Elephas maximus indicus: one gene and its partner. The protein of the gene in region 1 interacts with the protein of each later gene in a biochemical or structural test. Links are inferred from orthologs where the notes say so. Each region holds a gene or a part of one and is shown on either strand. Other genes may lie near its edges.

Region 1 (11,284 bases):
AAGTACTAAATTATAATATGTGACAATTCAATAATCAAATTGGCCTTTATTTGCCAAATCTAAGTCATAGTCTTTTCTTTTAGCTCTATTAGACCTAATGAAAAGGCTGAATCTGGGACAATCTCTTACCTGTGTTGCTATCTCCACTCTCCAGAGACGGTTTACTGCCTTCTGACGGATTGTTCATTTTTGAATCTACAATAAATCAGAGGTGAATTAGGTTTTAAAAATATTGGGGATGGGGTTGTGGATGCCAAATTGTGATAGGGGAAAGGGTTAATAATAATGACTAATGTAATAATCATACAATTCAAGGATAACACAGCGCATATGTGTCAAAGGTAAAACGTAGGGAATTATGACAAAAAGGTTATCTGAAAGAAATTCAGGATTCCCTGGACCTTAAAGTGACCCAGAAATAAATCACCTTACTGAAAGATCTTAAGAGTCTTCTAAGAAAGATAACATATATCTAACTTGAAAAAAAAATATTAAAGTATGAAATATATATATATACTTTATTACATAAAGCATAATCTATAATATATAAATGCTTTATAATATAAACTTTAAAATATGTTAAAGAAACAAAGTTGGGGGGGGAAGCACTTTGAAAACTAAAAAAAAAAAAAAAAATTCCAAAATAAAGGGTTTTTCTTTTTCATAAGCAAAGATATTCATTAATTGTTATCGGAAATAATTCACTGGTAACTCTGAAAACAGATGGGACAGTAGTAACTCAATCTAAAAAAAAAAATTTAAGAAAAATACCTCCATAGTGACTCGTCCCCCACAAACCACATGAAACAAGTGTCAAAATCAGAGTATATCAAATTCACACCTTAATCTTAAACCAGTACAAGAAGTTGTACCATAAGGCATAAAAACATCTAATCCATCTAATAATCTAATCCATCTAATATCCATCAAATAATCCATCTAGTAATTTCAAATCTGAATTACAACCACAGCTACTTAAAACTTAAACTAGCCTAGTACCCCAAATGAGCCTGCTCGATACGGGTTTCCTTCTTGTAGGGTTATCTATTTAATGAAGGTTTCCACAGTAATAAGCAATAGCAGGTATTCCGGAAGATGTATACAACACAAGAGGCGAGGCAAGGACACATCCGCGCCTCTCCCTCTTTCAAAGGGCCAAAAGCTGAATACACATTATATAAATATCCTACTTCACATCTGCAAACTGAAACTTAACATTATAAATAATCAAACAAGTTTATTATCAAACAAGTTCTGCCTTTTCTCCCACCAGGCTAAGAACCATTTAACTACAGTTATTAACAGAGAACAAATACTTAAATACGCTGTATTTGCTTTTTGAACTTGGAGCACATTTTGTCATCTGTTTAAATACTTAACTAGGAAATCAAAACAACTGTTACACAGAAGTCTCAAGGAAGTTGTCCACGGCTGCCTTAACCACACGCCTAAGTGACGAAAAAGAATCAGGAGTCCTTCCCCCATGAATTCCATCTCTAGCCTAGAAGCTGTAGGGTAGTTTTTATAAGATACTAGTTTTTGTAACAGATGTTTATCTCATGAGCTTGGGCAGTTCTACTGTGACTCTGGTTTTCCTCAGATGTTCAGAGGGTTCAAATATGTGTGTTTATGGCCTTAAATGAGGGCAAAAGCAGTTCTATAGCTTCCTCCCCCCGCCCCCGAATGAAGGCACTGTTTAGTTATTATAACAGAGAAGCTGTCCAGAAAAACTTAAATAGCATCTGAAAGTACACTAAGGTTTGAAAGGAACAGGTGGACAGACTTAGTGAAAATCAGCTTTCTGAATGACTTAACAAGAATTTTATGAAAGTCAAAAATCCTAAGAAATGCAGTAGAATATACCATTAAGCATACACCCTGCTCAGTGTTTCCCTTAGAATTTAAAAATTAAAAAAAAAAAAAAAAGATGAGTCAGTTAACATTTATAAAATGGGTAACAATTTTCCCACATATGTGGATACCATAAAAACAAAAGAGAGGTAAGTCTTAAAAAGTCATGAGCCTGACCTTGTACAATTCCTATCCTAATTTCCACGTCTATAAATTAAAGATTATGTCACAGACCTTGTGGATCTTCTAAGGTTCTTCTACTGAACTGTCAAAGAGTTTCAAAGGCATTTATTAAAATTACTTCACCAAAAAATAAATGAAACAATAAAATTCTGATTAACTAACTAATAACAGAACAATGACGAAAAGATTGTTTAAATGATATTTACTGTTACTTAAAAGGAATACAGACACAATTTTTTATTTTAAAATATATTGCTAAAAATATTTCAGAAAAGTATCTTCCTTTTCTTTCCTTTCTTGAGTTTCTATCTTAGTAGATAGAGACAAGCTCTTTTTTGATACTTGAAGATTTTTCTCTCTGGGCAATACCAAAATTATCTGTATCTGACACTGAGATGACTGTATCTAATAAGTCTAATACCCAGTATACAAGGTGGTCTTGGGTTGAATTCTTGGCATCAATTTGTTGTTTTTGCCATTCATTCATTTTCTTTTTTCTGTACAAATACTACAGACCCTGGGTTTGGGCCAAGCCTTCTGTCTAAGACTTCAAACATTTTCAGAACTAACATTTTATCTCTGGCAACAATGCAGGAAACTGGGGCAGCCGCAATTTTCATGTGGAGAAGATGACATCCAGGAAAAAAAGTAATTTGTAAAGGTTTTAACGGTAAGATACCCCTGTCCTGGAGATCACATCCTTGAACTATCCAGGTGACCAAAGTAACCACATAAGGGTTCTAATAATCGTACATCTAAACAGGCAAAAACCAACACAAAACATGGCCACCAGGAGCCACCATAGTGTCTCAATCTATGTTAAATCTGAATCACCAAAGATGGTTCAAATATTCAAACTGGACATCATCTTCCCCAAAAGGTTTGTTGTTCTATAGTGAAAATTGTAAAACTAGGATTTCCAATACTTAAAATTATAGTTTTCTGAAGGACATAGTTGACTTCAAAAGATCAAAAAAAAAGATGGGTAATATTAGGCATAATGTTAAAACAATTAATAGTTTCTAAAACCTGGAAATTGATCAATAGTCCTATTATGGTAACCACTGCAATTACCCTCTACATCAGTATTTATGGGAACAATTCTGTACTAAGGCTCCACCTTATTTCTCACTAAGCCATTTTAGATTTTGTATGGGACATTTGTATTAAGTATGCAAAACATTTTAATTAATATGTATATATTATTAGGTACAGTTTATAGCTTGGTTTCATATTTAGAGTGTTTTTAGAACTACATGCTCTCGACAGAAATTTCCAAAAAGCAAAAATGTCACCCTTTCAAGCTAACTTCTAAATCCACAGTATTTACTGCGAATATCCGCTGAACCAGAAGCTAGTCACAGGGAGGGACTGAGAGCAAACTCAAGCATGCTTGTGCTCTGCAAATGCCTTCCACCTTCCCTGCTCCACTGGCCACCCCGCCCCCTCCGGACCAGGTTGCATATGCGATTAAGCATTTATGCATAGTCAACCCCACACAGGCTATTTCCATATTAAAGCTCATAAGAAAGAAGTGTGCTGGTACCCACCTAGAACATAGTCACTGCAGTCCAGCATTGCTGTGAAATCTTCTAGAGGTCCAAACCGTCCAAAGCAAGGAAGAACAGGTAGCGGTTTGGGGAGGGAGAAAGAAGGTACTACTATTTCTCACAAACCTACGCTATGTTCTTAACAGAACAAGGTGGGGGGTGGGAAGTGGATGGAGGGGGGAAGCAAAATACAACTTCAGTTACACCATAGCAATCTTCAACTGAATAAGGAAACTTCAGTTGCTCAGAGGAGTTTTAGCCTCTCCTACCAGCTTGGACTGACATTGTCAAGGCAACTGAAGCATGAAAAGTTCCCCTTTTTGTAATAAAATAGAAACAAAGATTGCAGCTGGCAGTTTCCATAATGAAGCTTAATCAGTATGCGCGTGATTAGGGCCTTATGCAAATCTCTCCTAGTTAGCACAGCAGCCAGTACTTTGAAGTCCAGGAACAATTCATTTACAGAATACACTGAAAGCACTCCCTGCATAATTTAAATCGTTACATAAATATTTATCAGCTTATCTGCATATTAATTGGCAGTGCATGAAGGGAAAAATTATCTCCTGAGTGCCAGCATAATAATTAGGAGGATAAAATAAGATTTCTTCCAATGGCCTGGCTTCTCGGACCTAACTTGAGCTAGTGCTGGGGCAGAAGGGAGGGACAGGAGACAGAGTTCTGTTAAAATGCCCCTGAAATGACACGTACAAATTAGAAACAACTCTACAGACTTAAGCACCTTTAATCTTATTCCTGCCAGCAACAATGACTTCAGTAATAAGAGGATTTGCAAAAAGCTTTCTACACAATCCAAGTAATCCCAAGGAAACAATTAGCAAGGTAGAAGCAGAACACAGGGCTGTCAAGATGGTGCAAGTCTTCTGATAGGAAATTTTCCAAATGTTAACACAAACTGTCAGGAGAAAGTCCTGCTTTAAACAAGGCATCAGAATAAATCCGGAAGCAGCACAGGACCTAAAGGTGCCTTCAGAGTATGAAAATTATCTACAAATATTTTTAAAATACTAAATGAACAGGACAGATTAGTTGAATGCTACATATTATGTAGTACCCCCCCCCACCTCCCACAAAATCAATCTCAAGTAGAAGACAGTCTGTTACCTACAATATGCAGAGTCAAAAAATGAGTCCTGTAAATTGTGTAATTACTTAGTATGTGTACACACACACACACACACACACACACCTTTCCAAGGAGCAGCTACTGGATTCCAACTGCTGACCTTTTGGTTAGCAGCCATGTTCCTAACCAGTGTGCCAAGCGAAACTCGTTGCCATCGAGTCGAATCCAACTCATAATGACCCTATGTGTCTATGTGTGTGTGTGTGTGTGTGTATCTAACCCTTACTAAACAGTATTCAAATTAAAGCGGATTTACAAGGTAAAACATCAACCCAAAACTTTTCAGGCATTACAATATGAAAACGTTACATCCTAAGCATCATAGACAATTCAAGAGAAGGCTTAACAAACACCCTACAAAGTAGGCATTTTCACTCTCTCCCTTATTTTTATTGGTGATAAATATGTATATAAACAAAGCATCAGCCATTTCAACGTTTTTTACATGTACAATTCAGAGACATTCTGTTCATCATGTTGAGCAACCATCACCTTAACAGAGGCTCAGTGCCCTCTAAGCAATGACTCTCTTTCCCCCTCCCTCCCACCCTTGATAACCACTAATAAGCTTCGGTCTCTCAACATTTGCTGATTCTAGATATTTCATATAAGTGGGACCATACAATCTTTGTCGATTTCACCCAGTATAATATTCTCAAGGTTCATCCATGTTGTAGTATCAAGATCAGCAGCCCACCTGCCATCTTGAATAGAAAAGGGGTTGTGCCTACCACCTTCTGTGATATAGGGACTAGCTCCCTGTGATTAAGCCATCTCCTTATTAGGTAACTGAATTCCCATCTTTAAGCTATCTCCTTATTTAGATATGCTGCCAGTTCAGACTCAGTTAAGAAAAACAAGAGGCCGGGGTCTCAAGACCAGTTGAGACTGGCAAGAACCAGGTTTGGCCCACCTGACATAGGCAGTACATAAGAGCATGACCTTTGGACAACCTACTGATGTCAGAGGCTGAAAAAACACCCTTTCTATGTCCCAGATGTGGACAAAACGCCATCTTTGTGCCCCCCCCCCCCCTTCAGACTGAGCAGCTGCAGAAGACCAGACTTCCCCAGAAACGCCTTTTCGGGCCAAACCAATCGGCAAGCTGACTCCACCTTGAGGGGTTTCTGAAGACTCCAGACCCAATTTACTTTACCCATATAAACCCCTTGAGCTATTGTCTGAGGAGCCATCTTGACAACACAAGTCCTGGTGTGCTCCTTTACTTGGCCAACTAAATAAAGCTTCTTCTTTCACTTTCATTCGCTTTGTGTCTTTATAGGGTCGCCAAGCAGACCTGGGCAAGTCTAGTTACATTTTGTATCAAGACTTTATTTCTTTCTCTTTATGGTTGAGTACTAATCCATTAAAAGGAGCTCTGCTGGTGCAGTGGTTAAGTGCTCGGCTGCTAACCAAAGCACTGGCAGTTTGAATCCACCAGCAGTTCTATGGAAGAAAGATGTAGCAGTCTGGTTCCGTAAAGATTTACAGCCTTGGAAACCCTAGTGTTGTTGCTGTTGATAGATGCCATCCAGTCAGTTTAGAACCGCCCCATACTAATCCATTTTATGTACGTACCACCTTTTGTTTATTCATGCATCTGCTGATGGACATCTAGGTTGCTTCCATCTTTTCGCTATTGTGAATAGCTGCAATGAACAACGATGTAAAACTGCCTGTTTGCATTCCTGCTTTCAATTCTTTTGGATATATACCTAGGAGTGGAATTGCTGGATCATATGGTAGCTAATTCAGGAGCCCTGGTGGTGCAGTCATTAAGAGCTCAGCTGCTAACAAAAAGGGCTACAGTTCAAATCCACCAGCCTCTCCTTGGAAACTCTACGGGGCAGTTCTACTCTGTCCTATAGGGTCGCTACGAATGGGAATGGGAATCGACTCAACGGAAATGGGTTTGGTACTTTGGTTGATACGGTAATTCCAGGACAATCATGCTTGGTAAAGTAGAGGGTCAGTGGAAAAAAGAGGAAAACCCTCAACGAGAAGGAATAACACAGTAGCTACAACAATGGGCTCAAACATAGCAACAATTGTGAGGATGGTGCAGAACTGGGCAGCGTTTCGTTCTGTTGTACACAGGGTTTCTATGAATTGGAATTGGCTCAACAGGATCTAGTAACAACAATGGTAATTCCATGTTTAATTTTTGGAGGAACCACAAAACTGTATTGTGGCTACACCATTTTATACTTCCATCAGCAAAGGATGAGGGTTCCAGTTTCTCCACATCCTCACCAACACCTGTTGTTTTGTTTGTTTTTATCGCAGCCATCTCAGAGGGGTGAAGTGATAGTTCACTGTGGTTGTGATTTGCTTTTTCCTAATGACTAATGATGGCAAACATCTTTTCATATGCTTATACATTCGCTTTGCTGAACTATCTATTCAGGTTCCTAGCCTGTTTTTTGACTGGGTTGTCTTTTTTGTTAGGTTGCCCGAGTTCTTAATATTTTCTGGATATTAAACCCTTATCAGATATGTGGTTCCCCAAAATTTTCTCCCAATCTGTAGGCTGTCCCTTCACTTTGTTGATAAAATTCTTTGATAAGAAGTTTTAAATTTTCATGAAGTCCCATTTTATCTATCTCGTCCTCCTTTTTTAAAGATAAGGAAACTGAGCCATAGAGAATTGAAATACTAACTGAACATTACACTAACACAATGTGACACTAATAATTTATAGTCAGAATTTAAAACCAGATTTTGCTGACATCAAAATCTGAGCTCTTGGATATTACTTTGAATTTGGACACACTAATTTGAGTTTCCTCTACTTTCTTGGATAAATCGTATCCTTAACAAAAAAACAAAAAATTATACACAGTCTAATATTTCCATTGTCAACTTCCTTAGTCACGTTTTCATACTTTTCACTGAAAGTCATATTTTACATTATGCATACATATATACATAGAAAGAGAGAATAAATATTAAAACAACTCAAGAAAAGCTTCATGAAATGAGGCTCCTTCCTAAGTACAATGCATTCTGATATGTTCTAATACGTATATACGCATATATGTATATGCATATATATATGTATTTTTTAATTTCTTATTGCTGGCAGCAACTCACTAAATTGATTTCACGACACACCAATTGAAAATCACTGCTTTTAAAAGTGAACCAAGAACTTAAAAGACACGTGAAGCAACCTGAGAGCAGAATCACCTTTTATTTTCTTTTAACTAATAAATTAACCTAATATTTTACAGTTCACACTTAATTCAATGGTGTTTCTTAGCAATTATCCTTTATCAATTTTTTTCAAAGCATTCAATTTTAACTTTCACAGAAACATCATTTCTCTTTTTCTTAATGATTATTTAAATTGTGTAATTAAAATAGGTAGTATAACTACTATAAACAGGCTTGGGCACACAAATAACTAAATGACTCTTGATAATCATACAACTCAACTAGTAGGAGCAGACAGGCACAGACGTACCAAGGAGTAAGCATAGCGTGGGGGCATCAATGTGTTTTTAGCAGGAATGGGGCAAGCATATCGTGGGGGCATCAGACAATGTGTTTTTAGCAGGAATGGGGCATCAGTCAGTTAATCTAGTGTGATGGTTAAGGTTTCGTGTCAGCTTGTCTAGGCCATCATTCCCAGTGGTTTGGCAGATATGTAATCATCCCCCATTCTGTGATCTGATGTGAGCAGCCAATCAGTTGAAAGGCCAATCAGAGGAAAGCCACTCAGTTAAAAGCCAGTCAGCTTCCTTGGGGGCATGGCCTGCTTCCAATAAGTATGGATGTTCTGGCAAAGCATCCTGCATCCAACTTGTCATCCTCTTACCTCTGGTTCTTGGGAATGAACCAGAAGCCTGCTGTCTAACCTTCCAGTTTTGAGTTTGTCAGCCCCTGCAACCACGAGTCAGGAGAATCCTCCAGCTTGACACCTGACCCATGGATTTGGGATTTGCCAGCCTCCACAACTACGTGAGACATTTCCTTGAGACAAATCTCTCCATGTATATTTATATATATGTGGTTCACTAGTTTTGCTCCTCTAGAGGACCCAGCCTAAGACATCTAGTCAATAAGTTAGGTGAAGATTTGTTTAGAAAGCTACCACACTAGAAAGCAGTTATGAAATGGCACATGTTTCCGGTCTCTTCTTTAACCTGTGCTGTCTTATATTTTTACATCCATTGCTATAGCTCCTCTACTGCTCAATCTAACATTTTAGCATCCTTAGGTAAACATAGTACAAAATCCAATCCTGACATTCTTAGTTATAAAATCTTAAATTTTGTGTACCTCTACTTAAGTTTTATTACAATTAACTTACCAGTCAGGTCTATCCTAAATCATCCTGGTTCTTTACTTTTATAACTGCCTTTTCTTCATTCTAGTGTAAAGAGTTTTGCTAAGTTATTGTTTTCATGAATTAACTCATTTAACAAATATTTACTAAGTGCTGCCAGGCGACAGGATAGGAAATGGAGATAGGATAGGAATTGGTGAGCCTCAAGAAAGCTTTCAATGTAAAGCAGAGAGAAATACTACTCAAACAATCACCCAAATATGTAATCCCAAACTTACAAAAAGTACAAAATTACTTTTATAAGTACAAAAAAAAAATCCATGGAGTAAAAGTACTGGACTGCAAAGCTTTAATACATCCCTATAATTTGTCTGGACATTCTTGGCTAATATTAGAGTTCTCCTATTTTAACAACTGGAATGTAACTTTTTCTCTGACTCCATTTTCTTAAATCCATGAAAAACAGGCTTTGTTCTGCTTGAAATCACATGCAGCTCCAGTTATTCCCATCCATCTTTGGAACTATTCTGTTTCATTCCTCATATTGGTAATTTGTGTCTGCTTTCTTTTTATCTCTCTCTTACTCTCAGGCTTCCTGAATTTATGCGATAGTATAACAAGTATGCCAGAGTTCTATCTGAGATACAAAATTTGAAGACACATTTCTCTATTCAGTTAATTAAAATGGTCTTCAGACAATGTCTTCTGATATTACTAACCTGTCTTAATGATATTAAAAATATAGTGGTAGGCATTCTATAAACACTTACTAGCTCTCAATCTGTCTAAAATACCCTTCTTCCCTACATCTCGGTTCATGAAAAGTCTTCCTATCCTATAAAGACAGGTTTGAAACTATGGTCTAAGATTTCCCTCACTTCTCCAGTTGTCAAGTAATTATTTCTCCCTATAAACTCCTATAACAATTATTATGTACCTCTTTTTTGTTTTTACTCTTTATTTTTAATAATCACAAGAATTTGCAAAGATAGTACAGATAGCTCCCATGTTTCCCTCACTGGTTAACATCTTACGTAACTACAATACCGAATCCAGGAAACTGACACTGGTATAAAGTGTGCATAATTCTATGTGACTGTATCACCTATGGAAATTTATGAAACTACCAGCACAATCAAGATATACAACTATTTAATCACAGACTTCCCCCATTATGGGAATATCGGCTCCTCTCTTTCTACCTTCTCTAAGCCCTGACAACCATTTATCTGTTAGTCATCTTTATAATTTTGTCATTTTGAGAATGTTATACAAATGGAATCATACAGTATATGACCAACTAAAATTGGCATTGTTTACACAGCATAATGCCCTTGAGTTCCATCCAAATGCATGTATCAATAGTTCATTCGTTTTTACTGCTGAATGGTATTCTGCCGTCTAAATGTACCACAGTTTAATTATTCACCTACTGAGAGACATCTTGACTGCTTACAGTTTGGGGCCATTACAAACAAGCCTACTGCAAACGTTCATACACAGGATGTACAGCCGATGAAAGGACAAGATCCACGGTGGGAGAAAAGTACACATCGGATAAAGGACTCTTAATTATATAAAGAGGATTCATGTACACATTTTTACATGGCCATATGATTTTATTTCCTTGGGATAAATGTACAGAAGTGAGACTGCTTGATAGTATGATAACTATGCTCAATTTTTTAAGAGACTGCCAACATATCTTCCAGAATGGCTGTACCATGTTACTTTCCCATAAATAATGTATAAGAACTCCAGATTTTCCAAATCTATACCGTTGCTTGGTATTTTCACTATTTTTTATTTTAGCTGTTTGAATAGGTGTGCAGTGATATTTCATCATGGTTTACTTTGAATTTCCCTACTGGCTAGTAATACTGAACATCTTTTTGCGTGTTTATTTGTCATCCACATAGCTATCCTCCTCAGTAAAACGCGTCTTCCTTTTCTTTGCCTCTTTTCTAAAGGATTTTTTTTTTTTAATAGTTGAGTTCTGAAAGTTCTTTATATATTCTAGATAAGAGTCCTTTATCAGATACATGGCTTTGTAAATCTTTTCTCCCAGTGTGGAGCTTGTATTTTCACTCTCTTAACAGGGTTTTGTGTATAGTAAAACTTTAATTTTGATGCTCAATTTATCAATTTTTTTCTTTTATGGACATTTTTGTTGTCATGTTTAGAAACTGTTCACCATTTCAAGTTAGTTTTTATGTGTGAGGTTTAGGTTGAGGATTTTTTGTTTTTGTTACTTCTTTCTTT
Region 2 (10,605 bases), on another chromosome or scaffold:
GCCCCCAGACTGTAGTTTGCAGATCCTTAGAAAACTATTTGCAAGATTCTGTCACCCAAGAATATTTTGACTGTGCCTTTTAACGAGTATAATGAAAGCATGGAAATGGATACATAGGAGGGAACTCGGCATAATCCTGATCACTCAAGATGAGTCCACAGGAGATGCCACGGGAGGGAAGGTGCTCACCACCACTATCATTAGAAAACTTGATCATGCTTTACTTACATTCTCAAGTTCTGACAAAAACTTTGTGTGGTAGGCATTAAAATCCATTTTCCAGACTTTGACGAATATGAGAAGGTTAAATGATTAAATTGCAGAGCCAGCTTTCAAACCGATACCTATCACACTCCAATGCTCAAGCTGTTTGTACGGCACTGCTACTAGTTGGCCTTCATAAGGGCTTCCTCTTTGGGGGTGGATGCTAGCTTGTCACGTCTATAAAGGACCTGCAAGACCAAGGGCAGAACCAAGGCAGGGGAGTCTGCAGGTGGAGTGACTCCTTTATCCAATTGGTCAGTCAAGCAAGTCTTGCATGCATCCACCGTTGAGGCTTGAAGATTTCCACTTCTGTTCACTTCTGAGCTTTGTCACAGTCATCTCTGATCTTAACCAAAGCCATGTTCACATTTGCTCCACAAATGGGGGTCATGGGCCAGATTGGGAGGAGGCAACAGATTTACAAAATGGATGTTTACTTAACCCTTTCCAGAACCCCAGAGTACAGTCATTTCTGCTCATGCCTCGAGGGTGTTTTCTGAAAAAAGAAAGTGCTTTTTCAGCACTCTTGGTGTCTAATTTCAAACCCTGCCCTTACATCGGGTGATTCTAAGTAGGCTGACGATGCTGCCCTGTTCTAACTGGTTTTCCCACAGGGTTTAGTCACTCAGGTGCCCTCGGTGACATACTTGTGTCCAAGGTAAGGGGAATGGGTCCCGTGCCTCAGGGCTTTTCCTAATCTCCTTTTAGACTCCAAAAGACAATTATAGAGAAATCTGATTTGTGTTCATCTGAAAGTGTAGAAATGTTGACCCCAGTTGTTCCGTTGATGAGCTTACAATTGTGGTCTCTCTGGTTGAGGGAGTTTGGCTGTATCTGACTGCCCTCCTGGTGTAAGCAGGAAGCATCTCCCTTTAGGGGACACTGAGCTTCTGTTAGGGGTGATGGTCTAATTTAGGAACAGGTAAAGGGTGATGGTTGAATGACATGATGAATATAATTAATGTCACTGAAACATACATGTGAAGATTGTTGAAATGTCAAATATTTTGTTAAGTATACATTTACCACAATAAATTAAAAAAAAAAAAAAAAGATCGAAGAAACTCCAGAACAGAAAAAAACAATATACAGTGACAAAAAGTAGTTAGTGGTTAACTGGGGCCAGGTGTGGGGATTGGGGTTATTGGGAAAGGCCACAATGGAACTTTTTGGTGTGATAGAAATGTTTTATATCTTGACTGTGATGGTGGCTACAGGGATGTTTGTATTTGTCAAAGCCTATCAAACCATATACTTAAAAGAAATGCTTTATTATACATAAATTATACTTTCATAAAGTTAACTTAAAAAAAAAACTCTGTTAATCTCTTAGGAGTTAAAGGAAAAAAGTATAGTGGACCACTAATAGAATATGGCAGTTTAGGAACACAGGGAAGCAGCCCAAATCTCACATGTACTGAAATCAGAACCAGAACACTCAACACCATTTCTATGGCACTTTAGCCTACTAAAGGTAATTGTACAGAATAAGTATTACTTTACTCCTATTTTACATATAAAAAAACTAAGAATTCAAAATGTGGCCCTGGGTGACTACTAGCCAAAAGGTTGGCAGTTTGAACCCACCCAGCAGTGCCACAGGAGACAGGCCGGGCAATCTGCTTCTGAAAGATCACAGCCTTGAAACGCTATGGAGCCTTTCTATTCTGCACACATGGGGTCTCTGTGAATCAGAATTGACTTGACGGCAACTAACAACAACAAGAAGAATTTAAAGAAGGGCAAGTGCTTGCTAAGGTTGCTCAGCTCCTTAGCTTAAGCAGGACTCCCTCCAAGTGTTCACAGAAAACCCAAACGATCCAGCGCTAAGTCTAAGCACACAGGGATGCTCGACTGCTCCAGGAAACCAAAGACATGAATGCTGCCCGCCCTGCTCCACTGGAGTCCCCGGGTGGTACAAAGAGTTAATGCACTTGACTGCTAACTGAAAGGCAGGAGGATAGGATTTACCCCAAGGTGCCTCAGAAGAAAGGCTTGGCAATCTACTTTCAAAAAATCAGCCATTGAAAACCCTGTGGAGCACACTTCTACTCTGATGCACATGGTGTTGCTGTGAGCCAGGGTCAATTCTACAGCAGCTGGTCTGGCCCTCCTCCACATAGCACAACCCTGGGTTGGTGCCAGTACCCTTGGCAGATTAGGTAGGGTCTTGCCCCATCCTTCTTTCTGTGTGTAACACCACATATAAACAACAATATTTCTAATTACCTGCAAGGATTTCATAATTAATCAAATTAAAGTTAATTTCTTTTTATTTTTTTAAATTGCATCTTGCCAATATCCAATACTGATGAGACTCCACAATCTGAGAAATTTTGAAATCACACCTCCATATTACACAAGCTCAATTTCAGAGAATTTACACAAGAAATAAAGGAAACAATGACTTGATGATAAAGTGACTATAATCACGCTTTAATCAATGAAGTTATCTTTGCAGAACTTAAAGAAATCCAATGGAACATCTTTTTTAAAAAAGCTAAATAAACACTTTTTAATTTATCTAATTCTCTTATATTACATTTGCTTGAGGTAGGGTGTGCATGAATTAAAAGGAATTTTAAAGAACTAAGTACATTTAAAAGGAAGGTAATGCAAAGTTTTGGTATTATTTCTCTACTGAGGAAGTACAGAACTGAGCCCTACTAAGATTCACTCTCATGAGGCCATTGAATTGACTGTAATCACAGGAAAGCAATGTTATAGATATTCTCTGCATGGTTTCAATTCTTAATAACACAGGTCTTGATAAATCTCTGTTTGGTCCCACATAATGGAAAATAAAGTTCACAGTTGTCCCATCCAACTCCAGGGATAAGAATCAAGGTCATAGATAAACTCACTGTCCCATTGCACTGGGACAAACAACCCTTGCCATAGAATGGGAACAAGCAGGACAAGAGACAAGATGGTGAAACAAGTGAAGATGTGCTTCACAAAACCAAGTTTCCACTTTGTCTCCACGTAGTCACAGAAACATCTCATGCATTTGTCAGAAAAGCTAAGTAACTCCACTGGAAACAGGCCCACAGAATGAAACAACAGGCTGCAGTGTAGCTACTTAAGAAAAATAAAGCCACTTGTGTAAAGAGCTGAATGGCTTTCCCCTCCCAGCCCCAACCCAATATCACAGTTGGCTTTTGTTTTGTGAATCATACACTGCCCTTTCTTCACCACAGTGATTCACACACAAGCAGAGATGCAATGAGCTGTCCCACCTTGGAACACTAGTTCGTTCCCCACCCCCAGCCTGGAAAATAAGCATCACCCCTGACAGGTTGGTTTCTCCACAGGCTCCCTCTCACCCGCCTCACCTTTCCTGCCCCTTTGCATTGGAACCCACAACCCTCATTGCCCCCGTCGCCACCACCATCTCTTGGATTACAAGCCGACAGATAAACTCCCTGCCCTCACCCATGATCACTTGGCTCTGAGCAGCCACGGCCACACCACTTACGTTTTTGCCAGAGCATGGTCTGTGACAGGATGTTGCCTTTTCTCTTTGAAGCAGACAGCTTGGCTTCTTTAATGTGAGACCTGGGTGTGCTTTCCTCCAGTGTAGCCACTGCTTGCTCAGAGGATGTTTCCTCGGCTTTTTAAAAGCCCAAGTTCCCGCTGTGTGGGGGCACAGCGTCATCACATCCTCCCACCGCAGGCACGGGTGCTCTTGCTCTTCAGCGACACTGCCCGTCACCCCACTGTGAGCGCCCTCAGAGCCTGCTGGCTACAGACCACTTCATATTCGGAGCCGGCCATCTGGGTCTGAACAACGACATGGCATAGAAGCCTGTGGCCATTTGGATGTGGCCACAGAGCGTGGTGTGATACTTGTGTGCGTGTGTATGTATGTGGCAGTGTGCATGAGGGTAAACTGTGTGAGTATGTGTGTCCCATCTTGTACCTGCTCACACCAAGACAAGCTCAAAAGACCCCCTGGAAACCACTGGGTTTTCTGTGGTGCTTGTTCAGGGTTTCATACCACCAGGGTATTAGCAGGGCTCAGCCCACCATGGGCTCCTGCTCAACGGGAAATGCAATTCCCAGGGGTCACTGCTTCTGAACACAGAAGGAAGCACCTGTAGTCTCTTCAAGCCTCAGTAAACAACCTCCTCACTCTTTTAATATTGCTTTTCTGTTTATTTCATTTTGAAACACAATAGCCTTCCCCTTACTACCAGCCACCACTAAAACGGCCAGCCTTGATCACGCTTAAATATGGGGAACACTGATTCTGATGGTTGATACACCAGAGAAAGAGCCCAACTCCCTCAGTGCTTTTTAACCGGAGCTGTTTACTCAGAGGGGGTATGAGGAGTGCCCACCCCGATTAACTTGAAACTTCTCAAAAGAAAAGTAGTATGTCCACCACCTGGTAGCATATGGGGTGTTAGGCCACAAGACTCCTTCCCAGGTAAAAATCTTTTGTCACTGTGTATCCAAAGTCTACATGTATGGACCGGGGTGACACAATCAGTTTGGGGTCAAGACCACGTAAGGCAGGTCTGAGGCCTTACTGCTTGGCCCTCCAAACTGCCTCAGAGCGATCTTGTACAACTAGGTCTGCTCGCTCCATTCCCTACTGAAAAAGCCTTTAATTTCTCCCCTTCAGCCACAGAGCTGGAGACACATAAGTCCTTCATGGTCTAGCCCTTGCCTACCTTCCCAGACTCATCTCCCACTCATCCCCAATGTCCAAGCATCCCCCAACATCCATGCACTTCCCTGCCTTTGATCTTGCTGTCTTCTCTTGCTGGATTCCTCTTCCACACCTCCTCACCTGAACATCTTCTCTTCATTTTTCCAGATCCAGCTCAAATGCCCCCTTTTTGGTGAAAAAATTCCTGATCCACCAAATCTTGTAGCTCAGAGAAAACTAGTCTGTCTTTTCTCGACTCCCAGAGCATTTGTCTGTTCATTATTTTTAGGTAAGCTGTCACATGACTGTGTGTTCCTCAAGGCGGTTTCAACTTTGTTTCACAGTGCCTCACTCTTAACTAACCGGCCTTCAAAAAAATCTCACTTAATGAAGTAATGAATTTTCATCTCTAATGGGTTGTTGGTTCGAGGGCAGACCCTGAGGAGAAATGTTGTCCGCATAAACAACTCGCTCAAAAGGCTGAGAATGCTATCTATAAGCTGAACTATGAGCCCTCATCCCAAGGCCTCTGAACCCTGGGATGTGGAGGGCCCAGTTCTGTAGGTGGCGGCTGGCAGCGCCACAGCCTTGCAGGGAGTAGTGTCACACAGAAGACCTTGGGCCGCGCTGAGAAGTTCCCACTGGAAACAGTGGCACATCCACTAGGCCTGGCTCAGTCGCGGGAGACGTGGGTTTCTAGCAAGGCTTTGCCACTTACTGGCTACAACCCCTTAAACAAGTCATGTGACCCATCTGAGTCTCAGTTTCCTTGTTTATAAAATGAAGAAGCAGTTCTCTGAATGTCTGACAGGGTTCTGAGGAGCGTATATAACCTCCCTAACCTTTCTTATGCTGTTCCGCATCATAGTTATGTCTTATTCTTTCCAAGTTCCATGAAATTAAGAACTTCTTCTTACCCATCTTTGTCTCTCCCCATAAGCCTAGCATAATGATTTCCTGAAATAATAATAACTAAAAAAAAATTATTTTTTTTTTTTACTTACTCTGCACCAAGCCCCATGTTAAGCCTTTCTAGACATTATTTAATTTAGTCGCAGCAACAACTCTGTGAGGGAACTTCTGTTTGTATTTTCCAGAGAAACAAATATTCATTTAGGAAGTTTAACTTGCCCAATGTCACAGGGCTAAGAGGTGATAGGCTGGGTTTTAGACTTAAGGTCTTATGACCAAAGCCTGAGCTCTAAATAATTATACTAATAGACATTCATTAAGGTGAAAGCCAAGTGTCAGCCATATTTATTAGTAGTACTATAGGATCATTGCTATTATAACCTAGATCAGATCAATAGAAACTTCCCCCACTTCCCCATCTAAATATCACCTCTTTCTTTTTTAAGATCCAACTCAAATCGCACCTTTTTGGTGAAAAAATTTCTGGTCCACCAAAACTCCTAGCCCAGAGAAAATTAGTCCCTCTTTTCTTAGTTCCCTTGTTACCCCTGGGATAAACCCCTGTCCTCTGGAAAGATAGGAGGAAGGAGAGAAACCCAGAGGTGTTCTGACAAATCAAACCTTTAACGGTAACAGAGAAAAAACAAATTTGGTAGACAAGCCCACCATTATAGCCAGGTATAAACCCTGCCAGATATAAGCCAGTTCAGGAAGCCAGTGCTTCCAGCAAAGACCCTGGATATCTTTGACCACATATAGGCAGGTATTGTGGAATCATGACTCAATCAAAATGGCAGAGATTTTGCCTGGCAGACATCTTCTGTGACTCAGAATCAGAAGTCAAACTACATGTAGAGTTCAAAAGAGACACGGTGGTCATGTTCATGCAATACGTCAAGACGTGCAGGAAAAGAAAGTCTGTCAACACCATCCAAATGTCTCCAAATACAGGTGTGCTCCCACTTTTTAAAAATCTGATAAACCAAAATCAAAACTCCTAAAACAATTAATTAAAAAGCACTGATTCATACTGCAAAAGGACTCAAATTGCCAAAAAGCTTCGCCACAGACTTCACTGCTTCCTCCATCCAACAAATATTTATTGAGTGCTTACTATGTTTCATTGCTTCTGCCAGGCTTTAGTTTTGCTTTTCATTAGGACTTTAATCTTCCCCTTCGGTCCATGACATTTTAACACCATTGGTTTATGAAAGACTGCTCATTTATTTATTTATTCCTTTATTCATTCCTTCATTCAGTTATTCACTTATTCACTCATTCACTTTCCTTCTCGTTTTACATATCTATTCTTTCTCCTATACCCCCTCACCCCCATCACACATCCACCATCCCAGTCGAGGCAACTATTTTCACCTGGTTGATGTTGACCTTTCTGTTTGTAGACATTTATAAAAATATGTATTATTTTGCATGCCTCTAAACCTGTTGCCATCAAGTTGATTCCGACTTATAGTGGCCCCATAGGACAGACTAGAACTGTGCCATAGGGTTTCCAAGGAGCAGTCAGTAGATTCGAACTGCCTGAGCTCTTAATCAGTGTGCCACGAAGGCATGCATGTATTTCTAATTCATGTAATTGGTGTTGTATTATACGGCTTGTACTATTACTTATTTCTTTTTAAATTTAACTATGCTTAAAATCCATCCACATTGCTATGTATACATTCAATCTGTTATTTATAATGGCTGCAAAGTATTCCACAGTATGCAAACCCTACATTTTACTTATCTAGATTGTCTCCAATTTACCCCCTTTTCATAAAACAACAATGAACATTCTGATATGCATCCTTTTCCAGAGACACGTGAAAATGTCCTTGGGGTTATATACCCAGGTCAAAGAATATGATTAGTAATAAATTTAATAATGTTAAGTACGAGCCATATTTATTCGTAGTACCATAGGATCATTGCCGTTAGAACCTGGAGCAGATCAACAGAAGCTTATTACTTAACATTACTTAAATTGTAAGTATTATTTGTCTATAATATTTAAATTTTAAATAATAATATTTAATTCAACTAACTACTGTCAAATTGCTCCCCAGAATTCCCACTATCAGTTCATGAGGCTTCACATATTTATACTTCTCCACCAAACTTGGCATTATCCACTTTTCTTTCACCAGCCTTATGGATGGAAAGTGATAGTTTGTTGTGGTTTTATTTGACATCACTAATACTAATAAACTTAAGTATCTCTTCATATGCTTGTTAACCTTCTGGATTTCCTCTTCTGTAAAAGGCTTGTTCATATCCTTTGCCAATTTCTTTATTGGACTTGCTCTTTTTTTCTTGTTGATTAGCAGGAGCTTTTTGCATATTCTAGATGCATAGTTCTAGGTATTGTCAGTTGCACTCATTCCAAATATCCTTTCCTAATCTGTCATCTGTTCAAAGTTTATTCATAATGTCCTTGTGTGGGACAAAACCCACACCCACTGCCGTTGAGTCGATTCCAACTCATAGTGACCCTGCAGGACAGAGTAGAACTGCCCCATAGAGTTTCCAAGGAGCACCTGGTGGGTCCAAACTGCTGACCTCTTGGTTAGCAGCCGTAGCACTTAAACACTACGCCACCAGGGTTTTCTTCTTAGAAATACTTAATTTTGATGCTTGCATTTTGGGGATTTTGTTGAAAAATTCTTTCTTCATCCCAAGATAATAAAGATGGTTTCCTGCATTTTATTCTATTAACTTTAGAGTTTTATCTTTCACATTGGTACTCCATGTGTAGTTGCTCACTGATGGAGTCTAGGGATCAAGTTTTATTTTTCCCCATATAGTGGGCTAATTTTCTCCACACCATCACCTCAACAAGACTTCTTTTCCCTCACTGACTTATGAGGTTGCCTTTATCTATGCTATATTCACATATATACAAGGACCTGTCTTTGAACACCATTTTATTTCATTGGTCTCATTGTATGTCCTTGTACTAACACCTTACAGTTTCCATTATTACTTATTGTAAATCTTAAAATTTTAGAATAAGTTCATCAAGTTCCTAAAAAAAACACAATTGGAATTTTTATTGGGATTTCATCGAATTTATTGATTTTTGCTCTGGAAGAGCTGATATCTTGATAACATTAATTTAGCCCAGCTAAAAAAAAAAAAATTTTTTTTTTTTTTTAAGCATAGAATGAGTCCCTGGGTAGTACAAACAGTTAACATGCCCAGCCACTAACCAAAAGCTTGGAAGTTCAAAATCACCAAGAGGCACCTCAGAAGAAAGGCCAGGCAATCTACTTCTGAAAAAATAAGCCATTGTAAACCGTATGGAGCACAGTTCTACTGTGGCACACATGGGGCTGCCATGAGTTGGAATCAACTTAATGGCAGCTGGTACCATAGTGGTAAGCATGGAATAGCTCTCCATCTATTCAGATCACATTCTATGTTCTTTATTATTAACCAAAAAAAACCAAACACATTGCTGTCGAGCTGATTCCAACTCATAGTGACCCTGTAGGACAGAGTAGAACTGCCCCACAGGGTTTTCAAGGAGCAGCTGGTAGATTGGAACTGCCAACCTTTTGGTCAGCAGCCAACCACTTAACCACTGCGCCACCAGGGCTCCTCTTTATTATTAGAGTTTTTAAATTTTCTCTATGAAAGTCTAGTGCAGTTTTGGATAAGGTACTTTTTAGTCACTATATAGTTTTCCATTGCCATTGTGAATGATACCTTAATTTTTATTATATGTTCTAGTTGGTTATCTAGGCTATAGAATAATTCTAGTAATATTTGTGAGTATATCCTAGCACCTTTGTTAAACTCTCTTATTAGTTCTAACAGTGTGTTGATTATGATGGTCTTTCTACGTAGACGATCATCTCTTCTGAAGATAATGGCAGTTCTATCTTTTCCCTTCCAATCTTTACAGCTCTCATTTTTTTTCCTTTCTTTATAATGTTGACCCATACAATATTAAACAGCAATGATGATAATGGCTATTTTTGTCATGTCTTTGTCTTGAAGATACACTGAAGAAAAATTCCTGGAATTAAAAAAAAATGATATAAGATCTCAGATTAAATGGCTTGTGGATAGTGAAACAAGAGAGAAAAGAAAAAACTAACATCTGGACCCATTACAGTGAAATTTAAAAAGAAGACAAAGAGAAAATTCTAAACGTTTTCTGAGAGCAAGAGCATGTTAACTGAAGAACAAGAATCATATTGACATTACACTTTTCTTATTGCAATACTGGGTGCAAGAAGACAATGAAGAAATGTTTTTAAAGTATTGAAGGAAAAGCATGTTGAACCTCTAATTTTAAATCCAGCCAAGCTGTCATTACAATATTGTTGCTTCACAACAATACCCTCAAACATACAAGCCTCACATTAAAATTGCTCTTGGAGGAGGCATTCAAATAAAAGAGCAGCCCAAAAGGATGCAACAAGAAATATGGGAACAAAAACTGATCAAATACCTGGGTGAACTTTATTACAGGAATTTTCTTAAAGATGGAAGAAAAAGACAAAATATATCCATAACAACCCAGAAGGAGAGGGAAGACCTGGGTGATCTTAATGGGGTCCATGAATCTTGTGTGCATACATATTTTTCCTTGATTCGCAAGATTAAGAATTACTGCTTATTTTAGGGAAACTCTATGCTATCAAATTTTTAAATATATGAGATATAAACTGCCCAAGTCCAGCTAGAACAATCATGGTCCCCCAGGTGAAATGGGTAATGCACAGGCAAAATATCGAACTCCACTGCTGGCTGCAGGCAGT

What was found.
Region 2: the proteins of POU2F1 (region 1) and POU2AF1 are reported together in a solved structure, tested with the Homo sapiens proteins (2 studies listed by BioGRID, with this or other methods). The link is inferred for Elephas maximus indicus from reciprocal best matches to the Homo sapiens genes POU2F1 and POU2AF1.

Annotation. Positions count from the first base shown.
Region 1 is NC_064821.1:208,356,595-208,367,878, reverse strand, and holds the start of POU2F1 (POU domain, class 2, transcription factor 1), read right to left. Parts: upstream 4,594-11,284; 5' UTR 3,613-4,593; coding exon 3,585-3,612; intron 196-3,584; coding exon 130-195; intron 1-129. UniProt on the Homo sapiens protein: Transcription factor that binds to the octamer motif (5'-ATTTGCAT-3') and activates the promoters of the genes for some small nuclear RNAs (snRNA) and of genes such as those for histone H2B and immunoglobulins.
Region 2 is NC_064825.1:7,620,646-7,631,250, reverse strand, and holds the start of POU2AF1 (POU domain class 2-associating factor 1), read right to left. Parts: upstream 5,202-10,605; 5' UTR 5,082-5,201; coding exon 5,063-5,081; intron 5,034-5,062; exon of another isoform or gene 3,759-5,033; coding exon of another isoform or gene 3,743-3,758; intron 1-3,742. UniProt on the Homo sapiens protein: Transcriptional coactivator that specifically associates with either POU2F1/OCT1 or POU2F2/OCT2. It boosts the POU2F1/OCT1 mediated promoter activity and to a lesser extent, that of POU2F2/OCT2. It recognizes the POU domains of POU2F1/OCT1 and POU2F2/OCT2.